Linked DNA regions of Alligator mississippiensis. The protein of the gene in region 2 purifies or fractionates together with the protein of the main gene of each other region. This does not show direct contact. Links are inferred from orthologs where the notes say so. Each region holds a gene or a part of one and is shown on either strand. Other genes may lie near its edges.

Evidence for each region. Proteins that work in one complex are often made in the same cells at the same time.
Region 1: the proteins of OTUD5 (region 2) and DNAJA1 purify together in Homo sapiens (affinity purification with mass spectrometry, with the first as the bait; 3 studies listed by BioGRID). This does not show direct contact. The link is inferred for Alligator mississippiensis from reciprocal best matches to the Homo sapiens genes OTUD5 and DNAJA1.
Region 3: the proteins of OTUD5 (region 2) and YAP1 purify together in Homo sapiens (affinity purification with western blotting; 3 studies listed by BioGRID). This does not show direct contact. The link is inferred for Alligator mississippiensis from reciprocal best matches to the Homo sapiens genes OTUD5 and YAP1.

What each region holds. Positions count from the first base shown.
Region 1 is NC_081826.1:152,767,822-152,774,777, reverse strand, and holds the start of DNAJA1 (dnaJ homolog subfamily A member 1), read left to right. Parts: upstream 1-3,892; 5' UTR 3,893-3,937; intron 3,938-4,090; 5' UTR 4,091-4,103; coding exon 4,104-4,235; intron 4,236-4,635; coding exon 4,636-4,813; intron 4,814-6,517; coding exon 6,518-6,622; intron 6,623-6,825; coding exon 6,826-6,956.
Region 2 is NC_081831.1:28,453,094-28,460,589, reverse strand, and holds the start of OTUD5 (OTU domain-containing protein 5), read left to right. Parts: upstream 1-4,453; 5' UTR 4,454-5,177; coding exon 5,178-5,804; intron 5,805-7,079; coding exon 7,080-7,173; intron 7,174-7,496. Other genes in the region: KCND1 (potassium voltage-gated channel subfamily D member 1), read left to right, coding at 232-446, 1,236-1,404. UniProt on the Homo sapiens protein: Deubiquitinating enzyme that functions as a negative regulator of the innate immune system. Has peptidase activity towards 'Lys-48'- and 'Lys-63'-linked polyubiquitin chains. Can also cleave 'Lys-11'-linked ubiquitin chains (in vitro).
Region 3 is NC_081824.1:441,911,213-441,919,198, reverse strand, and holds the start of YAP1 (transcriptional coactivator YAP1), read left to right. Parts: upstream 1-4,922; 5' UTR 4,923-5,053; coding exon 5,054-5,371; intron 5,372-6,165; coding exon 6,166-6,416; intron 6,417-7,986. Other genes in the region: CFAP300 (cilia- and flagella-associated protein 300), read left to right, coding at 4,281-4,406. UniProt on the Homo sapiens protein: Transcriptional regulator with dual roles as a coactivator and corepressor. Critical downstream regulatory target in the Hippo signaling pathway, crucial for organ size control and tumor suppression by restricting proliferation and promoting apoptosis.

The DNA.
Region 1 (6,956 bases), on a different chromosome or scaffold from region 2:
AGGGATTCCCTAACTGCATGGGGGCATTTCACATCCCAGTGCTGTGCCCTGTGGGGAGGGGGAGGGCTTTCATAAACAGGAAAGGATATGCCTCCATGATCCTGCAAGCTGTGGTGGACCACCAGGGCTGGCTCTCAAACATTTATACTGGGTGGGCTGGCAGCACGCATGATGTATGTGTGTTCAGAAACTCCCCTCTGCCTGGCCTCGTGGAGAAAGGACACTACGCACCTGGCGTGGAGGAGACAGTGATCCGTGGTGTTGCTGTTCCCCGGTTGTATTAGCAGATGCTGCCTACTCCCTAAAGCCCTGGCTCATGAAGCCTTATGGAGGGAATGTCACCAACATGCAGAAGCTGATTTTTTAACTACCACCTGAGCAGTTGCAGGATGGCCGTGCAATGTGCGTTTGGCTGACTGAAAGGACGACGGAGGGCGCTTATGTGCCAGCTCAAGATGGAGCCAGAAAATATCATGGCCTTTGTAGTGGCAGTCTGCATGCTACACAGTATCTGAGAGCCATGGAGATTTTCAAGGAGTCGCGGGAAGAAGCAGCGCAACAGGCAGTGGCCAGACAACAGAGACGTGTCCAGGCTGCAGCAGCACAGGGACTGAGGAGAAATCCTCAAGGAGAGGCTGGTTGGGTGTCCCTTGTGCATGATTGTCTGGCGGGATATATTACTGACAACAACACCTAAGAGCGCTTTGTTCTTTCTCTTGGTTATGTTAAAATAAATTGATTTGCACTTTAAATCTGTGTCTGTAGACAAGGGCGTGCGGTGTTGCGGACGGGGGGGTTAGAGGGGAGGACGGTCAGGGGAAGGGGTAGGAAATGTGGACTGGGCTAGGGGTTTGCTGCTTCCAGCCTGTAAGTGGTTTGTGGGGGGGGCATTACACACTATCACCTACATCTGAAAAAGCCCCCCCCACCATGTGGGCAAGAAGGTTAACTATAGCTTTTGGTGGGCTAGGTGGGTGGGGGACGAAGCTGAACAGCAACCCACATTTTCAAAAACATTTATAAAACATTTCATAACACACCCCCAAAAGCCATGTGACACTACACAAACAGACTGACGGTGGTACTGGGCAGGGAACTGGAAGGTTTCAATGGGAGCCCCCACTGAAAACTGCATGAAGATCAGTGAGCTCGGGATGCTGGGAAATGTAGTCCAAAAACACCAGAACAACAACAACAATAAACCACAGAAGAGCTCGCCTGCTCACTGCCACCACCAGCATCATCGACAGCAATTGCCAGTCAATTAGGCAGCAACAAACACCCACCCACCCACTACTCTGAACCCTGAACATTTGGTGGTATTATAGCAGCTATAAAGTAAATAAAAGAAAAAGCACATGTATTTGTAACATGGTGGGATGGGAAGGGAAAGGAACAGGATGGGAGGATTCACAAGGCTTATTTTTGGAATGGGGATTGTGATGGGGGTCTTTGGGGTCGCATACTGACGGAGAGAGACTAGACCGACCGACCGAGCATAGGTGGATGCAAGTAACAAGGTTTTTGGGGTGACTGTGCCCGGGGGAGACTCCCAGTGAGAGGCCAGGGGCGGGGACAGGGGAAGCAGGCTTACATGTGCCTCCTGCTGTAATACATTAGGAAAGACATTGGGGGTGGGGGTATATTGGTATTTGACCTCCCCCTACTGAATCTGCAGGCAATGACACAGGAGACTTAAGTCACTCAAAAGCGCCATGTCGTGCAAACACAAACGCACCGCACCAAAACAAAGCCGGGTTAAAATTTTCAGGTGCGCTCAACATTAATCCCTGTTTCATCTACACATGCCCCTAGACACTCATGGCCATTTTATTACATAAAGTCCTCCCACCAGAACACAGCATACAGACCCCTTAAATAAGGCTCGTGACAAGGAGCGCATTTTTTCTATTGCTCTCTCAACTGTCCCACAATCTGCCCTCCCTTTCCCTAGTCTCCCTTCATGCTCTTGCCAGCATCCTCGCCTGAAGGACAAGAAGTCCTGCCAAGGGCTGGTAGAGGAAGACAGCAGGAACAGTGGGAAAATGGAGCAGTAGGAAAGAGCTGGAGGAAAATGACAAGTATTACTGGGTTGCGACAGGTGAAGCAAGCATAGGAATGGATTTTCCCAGGGTGGAGCAAGCTGTAGAGATCTCAGTGAGAAGAGGAAAATAGAAGATGATTCAGATACACAGCAGGATAATGGGACATCCCTCAAGCACTCTGAAATGTGTGTTGAGTAAAAAAAAAAAAAGGCAGGGGGGGCAGCAGAGAATGAAAGAGATAATCAAGCTGCACGATCCAACAGGGACGGGCTTTCTAAAATTCAGTTTCTGATACTGAAGGCAAGATGAAAGCAGGAAATGGTGCTATAGGAATGTGTGCGAACTTCTACCTTCAGCCTCTCAGGCATTCTTGCTGACAGTCACAGCAATTATCGTTTGAGCATTTACTTATGCTCAGCATTGTGCAAAAGCAGAGGAAATATGGCGCCTGCCCTTCCACATCCAGATTTCTACAAGCAGAATATCTATGCTCTAGAAATGACAAGAGACCACTGATTCGCTTCACAAAGCTTACTGAACAGAAGTGAGAAATCACCTATTTCAGTCCTGTCGACCCAAAGACAGCAGGGAGGGCTAAAAAGCAGTCCAATATGCATTCAGCATATATACTTGTACCAGATGTGCTCTTGCAAGGTGCTCAACCATTTTTACTAGCTACTGAGCCTGCTTTATTTCAGCTGTCTCCACATAAGGGCACACAATCTGCTGCTGAATTGGGTATTAAGCATCTCTGTTTTGGGGTCCTACTTTGTAATAGCTAGGCTTTGGGCCTCTCCCAGCCCTCAATTCTGGAAGGCTGTTTATTTACATATATATTATCTTCTGGATGGCCCTTCTTTTAGGAAGAAAGTAAATGCTGGGAATATCAAACTACTTCAGATTACAAAGCCATAACGGCATCCAGCTAAAATAAAATGTCATAATCTACAATGTTTTATCTTTACTTGTATGCATGTCACTCACCTTAGGGCAATCGCAATCGGTTTCGCATTTCTGTTCTTATGGTGTTTGCCTACAGTGGTGAACCCCCACCGTGTTTTCCAATGGAACTAGTTTCACCTTGAACTATTCCTCCGCTCAGTGCTGGGGGGGGCTCATTTGCCATCTTTCAAACCGAGCGGGCAGGTTGTGCAACGATATAAAAGGAAGTCTGTGATTGAATTAACTGAGCCCCGGAAATCCGGCCTTTCTTTCCTCAGGAATACTTGGTGCACACAAAGGCTCCCCGGGGAGCTATGTTAGCCACCGCCCAGCAGGTGTATCTGCGGGGTTTTTCTCCCCTAACGAGGTACAAAACGTACCTCGTTACCGGTCCCGCATAAAGTCACGGCTCTGCTAATGCACGGCTGTGCAGGGCGGCATCCCAAGTTTCCTTGCATGGAGCGCTTCTACCGCCAGCCCGAGAGCGGTGGCGCCTTGAAACTTGCAACTCTGGCATTTTGCCTCATTTCTGCATCGCCCCGCCCGTGTTTCAGGTGCTTCGTTTGGAAACAAGGTTAAACCAGGAAATACATCACACAACCCGCGGCGCGGGGCGGCAAAACTCCCAGCATGCACCACACCCCCACCACCCCACTCGGCCACGGCGCCCGCTGGGAGTCGTAGTCCGCCAAGCGGCCGCAGCGCACGCTGGGGGCTGTAGCCGGGCGGCCCGAGTCGGCGGGGTGAAGCGAGGTCAGAGGCTGCCATTGGCTCCCGCTCCCGCGCTCCGCCCCCTCCCGCCCCCGGCTACCCGGCAACGAGGGGACGAAGCTTCCGGGGCGGGGCCTCCCCGGCTACAAAAGGCTCCGGATGCCGAGCCTTGTTTGGAACTTTCCAGAAAAGTCGGGAGGCCGCGGGAGCCGCCGGAGCCAGCGCCGCCAGTCAGCCAGGTAGGGCGCTGCTGCTGCCGCCCCGGGGTGGGGGTTGGGGGGCGCAGCCTTGGGGCCCACGCGGCGCTGTCGGCCCTTTGACCCCGGGGTTGCTGGGACAGGCGCGGCGCGGCGCGGGAGGTGCTGCGCGGCTGACGGAGGCGGCTCGCGCAGGTCGCCGTTCACGATGGTGAAAGAAACGACGTACTACGATGTGCTCGGCGTGAAGCCCAGCGCGTCCCAGGAGGAGCTGAAGAAGGCCTACCGCAAGCTGGCGTTGAAGTACCACCCCGACAAAAACCCCAACGAGGGCGAGAAGGTAGCGACGTGGGGGGGAGGGGAGAGGTGGGAGCCTCGCCTCGCCTCGCCTCGCCTCGCCTCGTCTCTCTTCTCTTCCCACTTTCTCTTTATGAGAGGTGCCTGCAGGGCTTCCCTGTGGGTGCTTTTGCTCGGGTCCCTGATCCAGGAATGCAGCAGAAGCACCAGGCCTCTTCCCAGCTTGGGTTTCTGGTTGTGGCTGTGCCTGAGCACAGCGGGAACGGGGGGTGGGGAAAGTTCCCCTGTAAAGGCTGGCTCGGTTGAAGTTTGTTCACCAGCTCCAAATGGGCTGCTGTTTTAAAGCTAATAATTGTTGGTGTTAAAGGGATTGGGGGGGGGGAAATGTCTGGTTTTGTCACATCTCCTTGTGGATTTAGTTAATGTGCTGGCTTCTGTTGCAGTTCAAACAGATTTCTCAAGCATATGAAGTTCTTTCTGATCCCAAGAAAAGAGACTTATATGACAAAGGAGGCGAGCAGGCCATTAAAGAGGGTGGTTCTGGCTGTAGCTTTGGGTCCCCCATGGATATATTTGACATGTTCTTTGGAGGAGGTGGAAGAATGCAAAGAGAGAGGCGAGGTATGCAACCTTTTTGTCATGTTGGGTACACTGGCAGTCGAGCATATACCGGACCCTCCCTGAATACAGTTGAGAGAGATCATACTTGCTTCTGTTAGAGTTCAAGAAAAGACAAAGATGGAGTGGCTACACTTTTTAATAACTAAATGGTGCCAATTTTCCTATGCTGGTGCTTGAAAACAAGAAAACTATCACAGTAATCTAAAGCTTATTTTCTGAATGTTTAGTGTATAATGAGTTATAATACTAACTTTGTATGAATAGTAATAGGTAGGTGTCACAAGACATCAGTGGTGTCATTGTCTAAAACTTGAGGTTTGAAGATTAAGCTAACTGTATGTGCCAAACTTTTCTAAAGAACATAAATACTCTTCTGGGTCGGAACAGGTCCGTCTAAGGCAGTGGTGCTCAACCTCCAGCTTGGGTGGTGGGGCATGTCTTGCATGGGGCTCCCTGGAGGCCTGAAAATCTTGTGGGGAGGTAGGGGAAACATTAATTGCTGCTGCTCTGGATTAAGTTACAGCACTTTAATACAGCCACAGCTGCCATACTTCCAACTTCTAGTCTTAAACCTGTGGAGTGCCCTGCAGGTCGGGTGACATGCCCCCATGCACTAGATCTAGTGTGTGGGGCTGGGCTGGCATAACTGCAGCCTGACCCTCCTTTGGATCTAGCCTAGGGACTGATTCCATGCATCGGATCCAGCTGGCAGGACTAGAATATAGAGTACCACTGACCTAGGATGGTATCCTTGTTTTGTAGCAGAGTAGCAAGAAAAAACTTATGTAGGGCCTCTTGGACTGATCTGTCTCCCTTCCCTCTTCCCTTAGAGCTTCCAGTATTTAGAGGTTTGGAAGTTATAGTTTGAGGTGGTTATTTCATCGTATTTATAATGCACTAAATTGTCTAGTTCTTAATTTAGCCTAAGCTTTTTTAAGTGATTTAACAGATTAATGTTATTTAACTAGAACACATCTTTATATAATTCTTCCTTACGGGGGGTGGGTGGGGGGGTGTGTGTGTGTGTGTGTGTGTGTGTGTGTGTGTGCGCGCGCGCACATGCACCAAGGTGTGACTAGTACAAAAAACAGTACAGCCATAGACTCCAAATTTCATGTTACATGAAGTAAGAAGTTGCTGCTTTTTCTCCACCATGTTGAATGGTGGGGGGAAATGTTAGCATAGGACCATTATCTTTTATTGTTAGTACTTTAATAGTGCTATGTTATGAGTCCTATGCTTGCTTGCTTTTTTATGTATTCTAATATAATAAAAGCCTTAGTCTGTCTGTAATGCTGTATCTGCACTCTTGACTGGCTGCTGAGACAACCAATCACAATACTGAGGGAAACAACCAATCAGAGTGCTCCAAGAGTGTTCCAGACAGGAGGCAGTGCATGGCAGAGTGCTGCCATGATGGCAGAGTGCTGCCATGATGGCAGAGATGGAGCCTTGCTCCCTGGAGGCAGCATGGGATGGTGGAGCAAGCTCCCTCCCTCCCCTCCTATCCCCCACCCTGCCTGCTTTGTCCCTATACCCTGTCATTCCTGATGGGCAGTTGGCTTGTGTTAAAGTATTTTCCTTTAGTAAATGTGCTATGTTCTGAAGAATTGGGTCTTAGTTGATTTCAGTTGAGAAATAAGAGAACAAAATCTGATTAGCATGGAATTACAAAGTCTGGAATAATGAGTGTGTTTTTTACAGGTAAAAATGTTGTTCATCAGTTGTCAGTAAGTTTAGAGGACTTGTACAATGGGGCAACAAGAAAACTGGCTCTGCAAAAGAATGTGATTTGTGACAAATGTGAAGGTAAGTTTTCTGTACTACAGTCTAGAACTCCAGGGAACTTGTTAACTGAATTCCACTAACTCATTTTTTGTTTATCTTTACAAAAAATTATGTTCAGGTGAAAACAGTTGTTTTCAATAAACTAAATAAGTGTACTTTTGATATGTTTTATTTGGAGTTCATTTCAGTTGTCAAATCCTTTCATTCTGCTGTCTTGTTATCAGGTCGAGGTGGTAAGAAAGGTGCAGTGGAATGCTGTCCCAACTGCAGAGGTACAGGCATGCAAATAAGAATTCACCAGATAGGACCAGGAATGGTTCAGCAAATCCAGTCGGTCTGTATGGAGTGTCAGGGC
Region 2 (7,496 bases):
TCCTGGTGATTATTGACAGCAGTCTGGGAGATCTGATATTGCAAAGGGGTTGAACAGTACAATTAATGACATGACATCATGTTGGGGGGGGGAAAATCTCCTGGAATAGCTTTGGTCAGAGTTGGCAACCCTAGTCCTAGGTGGGAGTGAGGGTCAGTATGGTCAGGGCTTGCCCTAGAAATGATACCCCTCCTTTCCCTGCCCTGCCCCCTTCTTCTGACCCCACCCCAGAACCATGAGTTTGCAGCAGAGCGGGGGGTGTCGCCAGGGGCACGGTCAGGGAGGAGCCTGTCGCTGTCCTCGAGTGGGGCCCCATCTCCGGGTGGATCCTGTTGCCCCCGGCGACCACGCCACCGCCCCCTCCGCCTTGGTTCCACCCCATCAGGCAGCCGGGCCATTGCCCAGGAGCTCAGCACCCTGCAGGGCCTCAAGGGGCCAGCTCACAGGTACTGCATGTGCTTGGACTATTCACAGGGTGTGCTTGGCATATTCGCGGTGTGTTTGGTGTGTTCTTGGGGTATGCCATGGTATGGCTGGTGTGTTCCCAACATGTTTGTGGCATGGGCTTGGTGTGTTCTCTCAGTGCACCTGGCATTGGGGTTAGCATGTTTCTAGCATGCTCATGGCATGTTCCCAGCGTGTGGTTGGCATATTCATGGTGTGTTCATGGCATGTGTGCAGCATGCTTGCAGTGTGGGTTTGGCATGTTCCTGGCATGCTCATGGTGTACTTGCACCAGCAGGTGGCATATTTAGAGTATGGACTTGGTGTGGGCTTGGCATGTTTCCAGTGTGGGGCCTAGTTTTTTTCCCTGCATGTGCTTGATGACTTTCTGGTATGTGCTTGGGATGCTCAAGTGTTCCTGGTTCCAGGTGTGAGCACAGCCTATTTTCTTGCATGTGCTCTATGTATTTCGTGTGTTTGTACCATGTTCACAGCACATGCTTACCATGATCCCAAAATGTTTTTGGTGTGCAGTTGATGTGTGCATGGCACTGGCTCAACATGGGTCTGGCATGTTCTCAGTTTTGTGTCCTGTGTTCCGGGCACTTCTGTGGCATGTACTTCATGTATATACTGCATGGCTCAGGCGTGTTTGCAGCCTATGTCTATCAGTTTTGTGTTGGGAAACACTGGGTTCTGCTGCCATCCAGTGGGCAGCCATTGAAACTTTGGGGGAGGGTGGAGCTGGGAGCCCAGACGCTTGGGTTCATGCCCCCCACCCCTCCCTCTAGCCGGTCCAGCCTGAATGCGACACCAGCACCGGATACCCTGAAGCTGAGCTACGAGGCAGCAGCACTGGCAGCAGCCATCATCAGCATCCCCACACCCCCTGCCAACACCCCTGATGAGAGCCCCCCCCCGGCACCCCGGCCCCCTCCCCTGCACATCTCTTCCCTCTGAGGGGAGTCCCTGAACACCTGGGTTCTTTGCGTCAAGACACCTGGGTTCCATTGGCCTGGATTCCACCTATCCTGGACACCTGGGTTCTTCACATCCTGGATGCCCAGGCCCTACCCAACCCAACCCAGATGCCTGGGTTCCATCTATCCCAGCCGCCTGGGTTCTGCTGGTCCCGGATGCCTAGGTTCTGCCCGTCCCAGGTGTCTGTATTCTGCCCAGCCTGGACCCTGTTCTGCCTAGCCCAGATGTCTTGGTTCTTCATGTCCCAGATGCCTGGGTTCCGTCCGTCCCAGATGCCTGTATTCTACCCAGTCCAGATGCCTTAGTTCTGCCTTCCTGGATGCCACGGTCCTGTCTTCTCCAGACACCTGGGATCCTCCTGTCCTGGACACTTGAGTTCTTCCTGTTCCAGAAGCCAGAGTCCCTGGACACATGGGTTCGTCCTGCTTAGGGGCATGTCCTGTACCAAATGCCTGTGCTTGTATCCCAAATGCCTCAGTTCTTCGTGTCCTGGATACCTGGAATCCCACCTGCTTAGGAGCATAGCCTGTACCAAACACCTGTGTTCTTCTTGCCTCGGACACCTGGATCCCTCCAGCTTGGGGTGCCTGAGTTCTTCCTCTCCTGGATGCCTGGGTTCCTCCCAGCCAGGGAGCAGCTTTACCCAGACATCTGGGTTCTTCTTGTGTGGGGCAGGCAGGAGGTGTGTGCTGCAACCTTAACCCAGATGTCTGAGTTCCCATGGGTCTGGAAAGGAAAGGCAGGGGGAGGGGCATGGCCCTCTGCCTCACCTGCTACTCTTTAGACCAGCCCCCTTCACAAGCAAAGCCATATATCAGGGTCAGCTATGCAAGCCTGGGGAGGGAGGAACTATTTCCCAAGGCGCAAGGACATGGGCCACTCCTGGAACTCATTAACCAAAAGCCATGGGAGCCTGGGGGGAGAAGGGGCCTGGTGCCTGGGTTCTGTCACCAGCTATGGGAACCTGCAATGCCTGGATACTCTCCTTCAGGATACCTGGGTCCTTCTTCAGGCCCCCCCACACCTGCACACATCATGGTGCCCCCATCTACTATGCTCACAGCAGGACTGTGCATGTGTCCATGTTGCCACCAGGGGGGTGCTTCCTTCCCAGCATGCACTAGGGGGAGAACCCCACCCCCTACCCCCCATATCCACCTCACCTCACAGGTCATCCTTCTCCTAGGGGTCATGACTCCTCCAGAGACCAGAAGCTGAGCTCAGACCATAAACCGTGACCCCTCCCCCTACTAGTGCAACAGCAGGGGAGGGCAGAGGCCTGAATGCCTGGGTTCCCTTCCCCAGGTTTCCTGGGGCATGGGGGTCTAGGGGCCCAGATGCCTAGGTTCTAGCCTGGCTTAGGGAGGAGTTGGGGCAAGGGTGGGAGGGCTGAGGCCCCAGACACCTGTGTCAAGCCCAGACTGGCTGTGGTAGGGTAGGGGGCAGCACCAATGGAGGGGAGGGACTGGGACCCTGCCCCCTTCTCAAAATACTCTATAGCACAATGCAGCTGCCTCCGTGGCCACTGGGGGTGGGCAGAGATTCTGCCCCCACCTGCACCCCTGTCTGGAATCTGTCCTCAGGCTGGCTGGGAGCTGGAGGCCCAAGGGAGGGGCCTCCTGGAGCCAGAGAGGCCTGGACACCTGGGTCCTTTCTAGACTCGGAAGCCCGGGTTGTTTTTGTTTTTTTTTTTGAGTCAGAGGAACCTGGAGGCCTGGGCTCTCTGCCCACTCTGGAAGTGGGGCGGGGGCGCTACAAGCCTGGAGACCTGGGCTCTTTCCCTGCTCAGGAAGGGGAGTCCAACAGGAGGCGCCTCCCTCCTGTATGCTTGGGTCCTGTCGCCAGCTCTGACAATGTAAGTTCAACTCAGGTTCCCCTTCGGTTTTTTTTTCCTGTTAGACATTTAAAAAATAAGAAAATTCTATACATATAGAGACAGGTATTATATACAGATACATAAAAGCCTGGCTCAGGGAGGGGTGGGGCAACGGATCATTAACACCTCCATGCCTGGAGCTGGGGGTGGGGTCAGGATGGGGGGGTGCCTTCCCTGCCCGTTGCCAAGGAATGAGGCTTATGCTGCTGTAGTTTGAGCAAATAAATGAACTGGTGACATGTCACAGCTCAGTCATTATTTGCAGGGCAGGGGGTGGGACCTGGGACGCCTGGGTTCTCTGGCAGGGGAGTTGGAGCGGGTAAGAAGTGAAGAAAAGGGGCAGGGCCTGCTTCTAAGTGACAGCCGTCTGATCCAATCAGGGGGCCAATATGCTCCCCACCTCACCCCCGCGAATACAAACCCCACATCCCTGCGCGCTCGTCTTGAAGCCCGGGCATTGTGTGTCTGATTGGCAATTTGCTCCCATCCAGTCAGATGAGGACTTGCCCTCTGGTCCAATCAGAGCGCAGAATGTTCTTGTCCAACGAATCATAAACCGGTGTTCTGCCCCTCAGTTAATCGCGTCCAGGTTTCTTTCCCTAGCTAATCAGCTGCGAGCATCTTGTTTCCAACCCTCCCTCACATGCGAGGCGGAATTTCCCTTAAACCCATTCAAGCCAATCAGTGATTACGCTTGTTTCCCCCTGGCTAATCAGGGCCTAAGCGTCCCTCCAGCCAACCGGAGGTTAGTCCCCCTTTTTCCCAAGCCAATAAGATTTGGCTCTTCTGCCTCTCAGCCAATCACATGCATGTCCGGGGCCTTTTAGCTAATGAGCATAGGCGACCTTACGCCGTGACCAATCAGTGAGCGCATGTCAAGGAGGGTCACCCAAGTCCCGCCGACCCCGGTTGTTGTCATGGGAAGTGGGAGGGGGAACGAGAGGATAGGGGGAGGGACACGGCTCTGACTGTGGCGCTCTCCCCCCAATCCCAAACGCGTTCCTCCAAGCCCATCGACCAATGACAGCGGAGCTGTGGGCCGGTAGCCAATAAGCGGTGGCGCTGTTACCCAGGCGCGTCGGGGTCTCGTCCCTTTTGACGTTCCGTTGCTAAGGGGCGTAGGGGCGGAAGTGAACGCGCCGGGGTCAGAGGCCGGTTGTGTTGATGTTGACACTAGGCCGGGGCCGAGCGCAAAGGGCCCGCCGCGGAAGCCGGGAAGGGCCAAAAACCTTCCATAGACCCCAGGAACGGGGGAGGGTTGCGGGGAGGGGGCGTTGGTTGCTTGCTTGCTTGCTGCCTTCCTTATCGGTCTGCTTTAGGCTAATTGCCCTGCTGTCTTGCACCCCCCCCCGGGCCGCCGCGGGGGTTGGGGAATACGACGGAGACTGGGGTCTCGGGGAGCGCTTCCCCCCCTTATCCAGTTCTGCGCCCCTCCCCCTCCTTGGGGAGGGAGGCGTTCCTTAGCCCTTTCAGCCGGATCCCCCAGGGGGGTGCCCCCTTAGCCTCGTACATCCGGGTTCTGCTCCCCCCTTAGCCCCTGACATCAGGGGACCCCCCCCTTAGCCCCCTCCATCCGGGTCTCTCGGCCCCCGAGCTCTGAGTCCTTCCCTTCTCTAGTCACCCCCTGACATCCGGGGATCTCCCCTTAGCCCCTGACATCCGGGTCCTTCCGCTCCGCTCACCTCTGGCATCCGGGGATCCCCCCTTAGCCCCCTACATCCGGGTCTCCCCCCCATTAACCCCTTCTCCCGGCTCCCCTTAGCTTTTCCATCCGGGTCCTTGCCCCCCTGTAGCCCTTAGCCCCCTACATCCGGGTCCTCCCCCCCCTCCCCCACCCCACCCCCCTTCCCAGCCCAGCGGCGGCAGCGGGCGGGCCATGACGATCCTCCCCAAGAAGAAGCCGGGGGGCGACGCCGACCCTCCAGGCTCCCGCGTGGGGGGGGCAGGAGACCCCCGCGTTGGGGGGCCCCCCAGCCCGGACCCCCGCGTGGGGGCGGGAGGGGGAGCGGCAGGCAGCTCCGGGGTGGGGGGGGGCAGTGACCCCCGGCCGGGAGGGAGCCCGGACCCCCGCGTGGGCTCGGCAGGGGGCGGGGCCTCCCCTCCCCCCCCAGCCCCTCCCCCGCCCCGCTGCTGGGGGGCACCGTCCCCTCCCCCCACCACCGGCGCCCCCGAGGCCAAGGCCGGGTTGGGTCTGGATGACCCCCGGGCGGGCGGCGGAGGCGTGGGGGGCGGATGCTGCGCGGGGCCCGGCCACAGTAAGAGGCGGCGGCGGGGGGGCTTGGGCTTGGCTTACGGGCCCGGCGGCGCCTCCGGGGGGGGATCTGGGCCAGCAGGGCTGGGCCTGGGCCTGGGGCTAGGGTTAGGGCTAGGGCTGGGGGCCGGCGATGGGGATGAGGCAGGCGGCGGCTACAACAGTGAGGACGAGTACGACCCTCCCCGCGGCGGGGGGGGGGCCGGGGGCGGCCCCCCAGGGGACAGCGGGGATCCAGCTGCGGCTGAGCAGGTGGGTAGGGGGGTCTGTGGGGGTGTGGAGGGAGGTGAACCCCTGTGGGGAAGGGAGATGTGCGGGGGTCTGGGGAGGGGAGAGATGGGGGGGGTCTCTGGTGTGAGGGGGTTCGCCTGTATGATTTGGGGTGTGGGAGGAGAGAAATGGAGGTTGTGATGTGTGGAAAGGGGAGAGATTGGGGGGGCACCCACTTCCCCATATGATGAGTGGGGCTGTGATCTGTGGGAGGGGGGCATCAGGTGAGGGGAAAGATTGGGGGGGGGGGTCTCTGGAGTAAAGGGACCCCCTGTGTACTGTCAGGGAAGGGGGTCTGTGGTGGGGGAGGGGAGAGATTGGGTGATCTCTGGGGTAGGGAAGGCCCTATGTGATTTGGGGGAGGGCTGTGATGTGGGGGGAAAGGGGAGATATTTGGGGGGCTCGGGTGAGAACAGTCCCCTGCCCCCATGTGATTTGGGAGAAGCTGTGATCTGGGGGAGGGGGGTTTCCAGTGAAGGGAACACCCCATGTACAATATGGGGGAATGGAGGGTTCTTGGACTGGGGCAGGGAAGAGATTGAGGGAAACTCTGGGGGAGGGGACCCCATATTCCTCCATGTGATATTGCAGGGGCTGTGTTGGGGTGGGGGGTTGTCTCTGGGGGAAGGGGAGGCATGGGGGGGGTCTCTGGGTTGGCTGGGACCCCTGTGTGGTGTGGGGGAGGGGAGGAGAGGGTAGGGGGGCGGTCTCTGGGGTTAGGGGGCAACTCCAGTGTGAGAGGACCCTGCCCCTGTATGATCTTGGGGTGGGGGGAGAGGGGAGGAGTGGGGGCCCCTGTGTGACCTGGAGGAAAAAGGAGGGGTCTCTGGGGTGAAGTAGCCCCTGTGTGATCTGGGAGGAGCAGAGATGGAGGAGGGGCAGCTGAGGTATAGCTGCCCCCCATGCCTGGGTTCTGTGTGAATGTTGATGCTGGACACCTGGGTTCTGAGACTGGGGGTGCCTGGACACCAGGGTTTCATGCGTGTGCCAGGGTTAGGGAGGAGCCCCTGGGTTCAGTGTCTATGCAGGTGGGGGTGCTGGATGCTGGGTATCTGCATTGGTGTTGATGCTGGACAAAGGGAGGTGGGCCCCAGACTCTGGACTCCCTGTGTGCTTGAGTCTCTCACTGGGACCCTGGTGGGGTATATGGGGGTGTGAGCCACAGAAGGGAAGAGCTTGGCAGCCTTGTGGGGGTGGTGTCCAGGGGGCAGGTCTTGGGGCTTGGCCAGTTGCTGACTCCACCCTTCTTGCCTCCAGCAGGAGCACAGGTTTGAGAAGGCATTGAGAGAAAAGAAAGGCTTCATTATCAAGCAGATGAAGGAAGATGGGGCCTGTCTCTTCCGGGCTGTGGGTGAGTGGCTTCTACCCTGCATCTGCACCCCAGGCCCTTATCTGCTTCCCCCTGTCCGACCCCCTGGCAGAGTTGTGGGGCTAGAAACCAAGCAGTGTTATACTTAGCTATTTCTCAACTGCCCAACCCCAGAGCTGGGCACATATCACCTTCCTTGTGTCCTTTTATATGCAGCCATTTCTAAACTGCTTCACACCAGAATTGGGTGCATCTTGGCCCTCCCTCTATGGTGTTTGACCCCAGGGGTGGCTGCATCTTGCCCTCCTTGTGTCCTGCTCTACCCAGGAGTTAGGCACATCTGGGCTCTTCCTTCATAGTATTAT
Region 3 (7,986 bases), on a different chromosome or scaffold from region 2:
AAATCCACCCTGCTCTTGTTTGAGGGGGGGGAACTGGCATTGCAGCAGGTTGTAAAATTTGGCAAATATGGGTTATTTTAGATGAAGGGAGAGGATGTTCCAAAATTCTGGGCTCTGTAAGGAGAACAGGCTGCAACTTCCTCTTATAAACCTGAGACTCCAGCTTCAGGATTTCCAGTCCCTACATATATGAGGTCATTTCCTGGAGTGAGGCGCAGCTTGTTTGAATAAGCAAGTTTCAAATGAGTTAAATGTACAGTCAAATCTTCTTAAACTCCATTGAAAAAATATGAAACAGATAGTGCAGATCCTAGAGCATAACTGACTTTGTGCTCTTGATGAGAAACTCTACTAATCAAAGCTGCACTGGTTTCAGTTTCTGAGTTGACTTTAAGGTGTAGCCCTGTGCACAGTACTTTACTGTAATCTAATCTAAGGTGAAAAAGGCACGGATCATATTTGTAACGTTTACTTCTGAAAGAAAGAGTCGCATCTACTTAGCCTGACAGAGATAAAAGAAACTCATCCTGGTCACTGGTGCCATCTGATAGTGTAACAGCAGCTGAGAATCTAACAGAACCCCCGTTCCTCAGACTGGAATAACAAATGATGAATACATGTCCTTAGCAAAAGGAGATAAAATCCTCCTCATATCTTTTGGCTGCATTTTCATTATCAACATAACTTCCTATTTACCTGGACCCTGACTCACTAATTAGTCCTCTTCTATAGATCAGTCTCTACAAAACACTAACTAGTTTAGATGATAAAAAAAGAGCTGGAGCTTTGTCTTAGTAACATGCCGAGCAATCTCATACCTATCTGTTCCATATGCTTGTTGGATTTATAAGCATTATCTTGACAACATGTTGATGTGAAAGTTGGTGATTAAAACACATAATTTTAGAAAGTGCTGCTATAAGTTAGTACTACATCTGCTTTAAAACTGCTTTTTAAATGTAATAATCTGATCTTGAACAAAATATTCAAAACAAGTGGTTTTCAACCTATGGCCCATGGACCCCTGGGGGTCTGCAGACTATGTCTAAGGGGTCCATGAAAGATGATTATGTTCAATCAAAAGTATGTGAATACCCACATTTACAGTTCAAAGGGGTCCGCACCTCCATTCATAATATGTTAGGGGTCCACAAATGAAAAAAGGTTGAAAACCAGTGATCTACATATATATGTATACAGCTTCATAGTACAGAGAGCACAGAGGAAAAAAAGGGGAAAAGGAAGTATTTGAAATCTTATGACAGTGTATATTTCTGAACTCTGAATGGTTTAAAATGTTCAGTGTTTGTGTATAAGTAAACTTCACCATGAAGAAATCTGAAACAATTGTGATACTAAATAATAACAAAAGAGTTTCTTAAATGCCAAATCAGCCCATCAGTGCTGTTGGCATCACTGTAATAAAACACATATTCCCTAGTTCTTTTAGAAGACTATTGATAAAGTGTTACATGTTTTCTTGAAGAGATCTTCAACAGTATAATTGTTTCCACAGTATTTCTCTCATATGCTGTCTGAAATCATCAGCAGATTATCTGTGTTTCTCTAAAGCCAGCAGCTTTGGATCTAGTTCTGGCATCACTACATCAAGTGCATGTTGCAGACACACCACCTGTTTGAACTTAAAACTGCAGATTCTTAATTTATGTATAAGACACCCTAATACTAGAGTGATGAGGCACTGATATATGTAGATAAAACTGGTCTTAAACTAGTTTAATTAAAAAGAAAGAAATTTGGTCTAGCTAAAATGAACTGAAAAGCTCCCAGGAGCAGATCCAAAGGGGCCCAGTTGCACTTCGTTTTCCAACCACACAGTGGGAGCAGCAGCCAGGGATTCTTTTTTAAAATCCTCAAATTGGGTAATAATTGCTCTCCTGCCCTCCACTTCATGTTCAGTGGGATGTCACCTCCTCCCCCACACCCCTGGCTGCTTACCACTAGTGCTATCCCCAGGTGCCCCAGGAGCAGGGGGAAATTCCAGAGCCTTTGCTGTCCCACTTTAGCCAGGCTGCCCAGGGAATTGGGCTCAGTTCAGGACAGTGGCAGTGGTGGTACCAGATGAGTACCTCTTCTCTGCCTAGGACTCCCACGTGTACTCTGCCAGCTTGGGAGCAGGCTTATGGAGGCAGACCCTACCTGCCATCACTGCTGCTGCTATCCCTGGCTAAGCCCAACTCCCTGCAGAGCCCAGCTGCAGCAGGGCAGGAGAGGCTCTGGAGCTCCTTCCTTCCCTGGGACAGCTGGATAGTGGGGACAGTGGCAGCAGGGGGCAGGGGAGAGGAAATGCCACTGAGCATGGAGGGAAGATTCTTACCTGATTTCAACACTTAAAAATGTGTTCCTATGGCATGGACTACCTGTCCTGCTGGAGTAGGGGAGAATTTGAGAGCTGGGGTACAGCTAGTAGTTGCTGCTCCTGTACCCTCCCCCCACTTTACAAAATTCAGGATCTGCCCCATGGAAGCTCCTCACATCATATGCAAGGGCACCAGTGGACTGGACAAAATGGAGATGGAACTATAATCCAAGTTCCTCTTCCCAGGTGAGTGCCTTAACCATCTGGGTAGAGCCATGCTCTCTCTTTGGCCCAATGCATGTTGAATTATTTTATTTAAAGTACAATAGTTGCAAGAGGATAAATGGAGGTTTCAGTCCCCCTAGGTTCATCTAAATTTCCCACTTTTTGCATGAGCCTGAATTGTGCACGAGGGGAGCAGCAGCATTCATCCCCCATTCCCCACACGTGCATTAAAAAAAAAAGTACCTGCCCCTTCACTTGTAAAGCCTCTTAGGAACGCTTTGAAAACATCTACTAAGAGATAGGCAGAAATCCAAGGCTATCTGGATGTAGTATACCAGTAACTCTGCTCATGCAGTGCCTGGAATAATTAACAGAGGTCTAAAAACAAAGCTAGTTACCTCAGGTGCAATGCTGCATGGACATGGCTATATTGCTTCTAGTCTGGGAGCTAGCATGCAAAAGCCGCTGTTATCCCTACATAATGGTTGGACCCATGTAGCTGTACTCTTGGGCTGCTTGCAGATGTTTTAAAAAAAACCCCAAAACTGCTTCCCCAGAAGCAGCAGCATGTTACTTCCACCCAGCTCTGCAGCATCTGTATAGATTAGGCACTTCAGCGGGGCTTTTTCGTGCTTTCATCTAAAGCTAAGTCAATCAGGTAGTAGATGAAAGTGCCCCAAAAGCCCCACTAAAGCACCTGATCTATACAGATGTTGGGTGAGCCAGGTCCAACTAATGTGCTGCCTCTTTTGGACATGTGCTGGGCTTTGTGCAGGAGCCCATCGGGTTTAAAGCAAGGTGCAAGTGGCCCTGGTTTCTAGATCTCCCATATGCTCAGGTGAGGCAGGTGCTAAGTTACTCAGCCCTGTTAAGATAGAAGCACTTTGGGGTATGGTCAGTAACAGAACTTGAGAAGTGAAGGACTTCAATGTACAACTTACAGGACAGGTGCTTGTAGGACTAGGCAGCAGCTGAGTGTGATTTATAGAACTGCACTTTTGGTGGAAATCACATTATTTACTCAAATCCAAAACCGTGAATTGAAGATGACCCCCACAATAATTAGAGTCTATACATGGCAGAGCAGGGAGTAAGGAATCAGGCAGTAGAGAAAGCAGGTGTTGTGGGGGTGGTGGAAGGGAGCAAGCAGCTTGTCCCCCACCACCTGTCCTCCCCCTATTTCAACCCCTGTGCTTGGCCCTTACTCCCTCTTACCTCCCCAGCCCCTTCCCCTCCTACTTACCTTTGCTCCAGCCCTGGCAGGCTCTGTCCATGCTGCAGCCTGGGGCCTGGAGCATGGGGTGCAGGTGGGGTACTGGTGCCACAGGGCTGGGTCGGAGCCATGCTCCAAGCCACAGCAGGAGATGGTGGCAGGGGTGCAGAAGAGCAGAGAGTGCAGAGGGGCAGCACCGGTCAGAGCCAGACACCCAGCCCTCTCCTGCCCTGCTCGGTTCCAAGACGAGGGGCTCCCCCATGCAAGGGGAGGACATCTCGTCTTGGGCCCGAGGCAGTGGGGTCGGTGCCCGAGGGCTGTCCTGGCTTTCAGCCGCCTGGCAGCTCAGCACAGCACTACCCTTATCGGTCCAGAAAGGCTGGAGAGGAACAGCTGGCGGGAGCGATCGGCAGGGAGGAGCTGCAGGGCAGCAGGTCAAGCGCTCCGGCCGGGCGGGGCGGGGCAGGGCCGGGCCGGGCCGGGCCCAGCGCCTCACGCCGCCTCCTCCTCTCGTCCCCGCAGGGCGCGGACGGCAGCTGCTTCCCGGGCCACGACCGGCTGAGCTTCGCCTACATCAGTGTGGACCCGCGGCGGCGACACGTGCACGTGCTGTCCCACTGCGCCGGGGCCGCCTCGCCCGCCCGCTGACTCCGCGCGGGCCCGGCCACAATAAACCTCCTCTCTTCGCCTCGCCTCCGTCTCCGTCTGTCCCCGCGGCCGGCCGCTCCCGCACCACCCGGGAGCCCCAGCCCGAGCCGGTCCCTGTGCAGGCCCCCCACCCCCGGCGCGTCACGCGGGTCCCGCCGGGCACCGCCCCCCGCTCCCGCCCCGCCCCCGAGGCCGAAAGTTTGCTGCAAAGTTTTCTCGCTCGTTTAATTTTGCGTTGCACGGACGTCCCGGCAGCGCCGGCCCGCGTGGGCGGGCGGGCGGGCAGGCGGGCTGGGTGGGTGAGTGAGTGAGAGGGGCGGGCCGAAGTCCGGGGACGCGGGCGGGCCGGGTGTGCGGGACAGCGAGCGGGCGCGCCGTGTCGAGCGGGGCAAGACGGAGGGGCAGCGCCTGGCGGGGCTGGGCCGGGCTGGGCGGGGCGGGACCCGGCGCGGGCGGGCGCGGACAGGGGAGGGGGCGGGGCGGGTGCGTCTCAGAACTTTTGTTTGGCCTCTTGCGCGACTTAGTTTCCGCCGCCGCCGGGACGGAGGCGCCGGCCGGGCTGGGCTGGGCCGGGCCGGGCTCGCGGGGCGGCCAGAAGCGGGAGCCCCGGCGGGCGCGGGCTCGGAGCCGCTGCAGCAGCAGCAGCCATGGATCCGGGACAGGCGCCCTCACAGCAGCAGCAGCCGCCCTCGCAGGCGCAGCCCCCGGCGCAGCCGCCGCCGCAGCCCGCCGGGGCTGGGGCCGGGGCCGGGACGGGCGCGGCGCAGCCCCCGGGCGCGGGGCCGCCGCCGGCCGGACACCAGATCGTGCACGTGCGGGGCGACTCGGAGACCGACCTGGAGGCGCTGTTCAACGCCGTCATGAACCCCAAGGGTGCCAACGTGCCGCACACGCTGCCCATGCGGCTCCGCAAGCTGCCCGACTCCTTCTTCAAGCCGCCCGAGCCCAAGGCCCACTCCCGCCAGGTGAGGCTCCCGCCCAGCCCCTCCGCGGCGCCCCCGGGGAGCCCGGCTTTGGGCCCGGGTCGAAGCAGCCCGGGGGCTGCCCCCGCTGCGGGGAGGAGGCGCGCTGCCAGGCTGGGACGTGGCCCGGTGCCATGTCCCAGCCCCGCTGTCGCAGCTGTGCCAGTGGAAGAGGGCTCCCCGCCTGCGGCGCAGTAGCTAGGGTCTTCCTGCTCGCTCGCGCACACAGCAGAAGTTTTGGAGGGCTTGACTCTCCTGCCCACGCTGGCAGTAATAGCCTTCCTGGTCCCTTTGTGGCAAGGTGGGGACTAGATTTCAAGTGGACGGGGATTTCGGCCCCTGATGCCTATAAGGAACCAGGGGTGCAGCTCACTTTTTTTTTTTGGATTTGCTCCTTGCAAGATGCGTGTCAAATGCTACCGAATCAAAATGGTCGTTTATGCTCTGTTGGGAACCATGATGCAACGCTCAGGGCAGTGGTGCATCAGGCATGACAGCGGGGGAGATGGGATCCTGCTCAGAAAACTGTAAGGCTTTTTGTTTGTGCGTTCAAAGTTTACAACAACAAAAGGTAGACGAGAAAGGTTGATAATTTATATTCCCCATGTCCTGGCAACAGCTTAAAGCTTGCTTTGACTTTGTTTAACTTGCTTTGAGCGACGAGCTAACAGCATTGAAACAAGTCAGAAGTTTGAAAACAACTTCTTATACCCGAGTCTCTCGCAGACAATTCAGTAAGGTCAAAGTAGGTGTGTTTCTGCTGAAGTATCTTAATGGGAACTGTTTACTCCCAACAGGCCAGCACTGATGCAGGTTCAGCCGGAGCCTTGACTCCTCAGCATGTCCGAGCTCATTCATCTCCAGCTTCGCTGCAGCTGGGAGCTGTCTCTCCGGGGACCCTTACCCCCTCTGGAGTAGTGACTGGTCCTGGACCTGCCTCATCTTCTCAACATCTCCGTCAGTCCTCATTTGAGATCCCCGATGATGTTCCTCTGCCACCAGGTTGGGAAATGGCTAAGACACCATCTGGCCAGAGATACTTTCTTAAGTAAGTAAAATAGAGTTATAAAAAACAAGGTTACATTTTTTAACGAAGCTCACTGTCCATGTTTAAGAACCTTTGTGTATATAAGAATATGTGCCCCTTTAATATATCAAATACATTTAAAAACTATGGGTCATGATTTTCAGTAGTATAGCTCTTTATCTGATTTGAACTGGGGGTGTAGATGTTGAACCCTGAAAGTTATGCCTAGGTGTGAGAAACATGCCTCATTCTTGGCATGTCTCATCTTGGATTAGTTATTTTTGGGCGTGTTTTTAAGTCTGTTGTAACATATAGTAACTTTAATACTTGGAGTACAATAAAGCAAGGTCATTTAAAGGTATACTTTGGGTCAGTATTTGGAAAATTGCTGAAAATGGATATCAAAGATTAAGAAACTTTCAGCAGTATTGCAGTGAGAATACTGGATGACTGCTGATTACTTTTTTTTTTCTTTGGAAGTACAGTGTCAGGTTCCTATGAAGTCTTATTGGTACATGAACCTGATGGGGCCTGTAGTTCTTAAAACTAACTTTGGAATGAAAGGTGAATGTTGGAATTCTTAAATGTTTTTTGTTTTCACTACTTTGGCTTTTTAAAGTAGTGAAATTAATATAACTTTTTCTCTTGCTGAAGAGGTTACACATGCCAGCACTCTGACATGTCATCCATCAGGAGATGCTCTGTAGAGTTTTCTAAAACAGCAGAAGCCTGTCCTCCTTTTTGCAAGTGTGTGCACAACTCTCGTTCAATCACTAGGTTTCAAGTAACATATTATTTGTCACTTCAGATTTGAAGGGACGGAACCACTAGCATTAAAAAAAAATTATATTCTTACTACCTTGCTAGTCTAAAAAGTGTTCTAAACTTTTTTGTGGTTCCATTTGCTGAAATAAAATATCCAAGCCTGAAATTATATTCGCAGAAGACCTTAATATCTGTGGCTGGGACATGCTTTCCATGTAACTGCACTATGGCTCAGAATGAAATAGGGACCTAATTCAATGCCCATAGAAGAAGCCCCCTTGAAGATTTACCATTGTTTCCTATGAAGCACAAAGTTTGTTCTTATGAAATATTTTGCCTAATTTCACTGTTAGAATTAGGCAGTTTTATGCCAGTTGAGAATGTGACCCACTGGACCTTGAAGAGCAAAACATAGTTTTCATATAATTCCAAAACTTGTATATTATGCTCGTTATACTCTTAACTAGCTTAAATAGAACACGACAAAGATGGTATTTAAAAAAAAAAAATGCTCTATCTGTAGTGCTAATTATTATTTGCATTTAGATCGATGCTTTAAATTTTATAGAGGGAGCATTACAGTTGTTGTGGTAGACGAAAAGAAATCCTTGCACTCCTATAATTGATTCTTTAATTATGCTCATTTAGGTGAAAGCAGAGGGAAGGATTTGATCTTGGAAAGCTTTTCTACAGTTTCGCTATTATTACAGAAAATCTTCCTTTTTTCCTGCAAGTTTTCTTTTTTGTCTGTCTTGGTGTCTTGGTATCCATTTCAAAGAGTCAGGTTTCAGCAAGAACAATAAAGAGCCTGAGACTGGAAAGTACA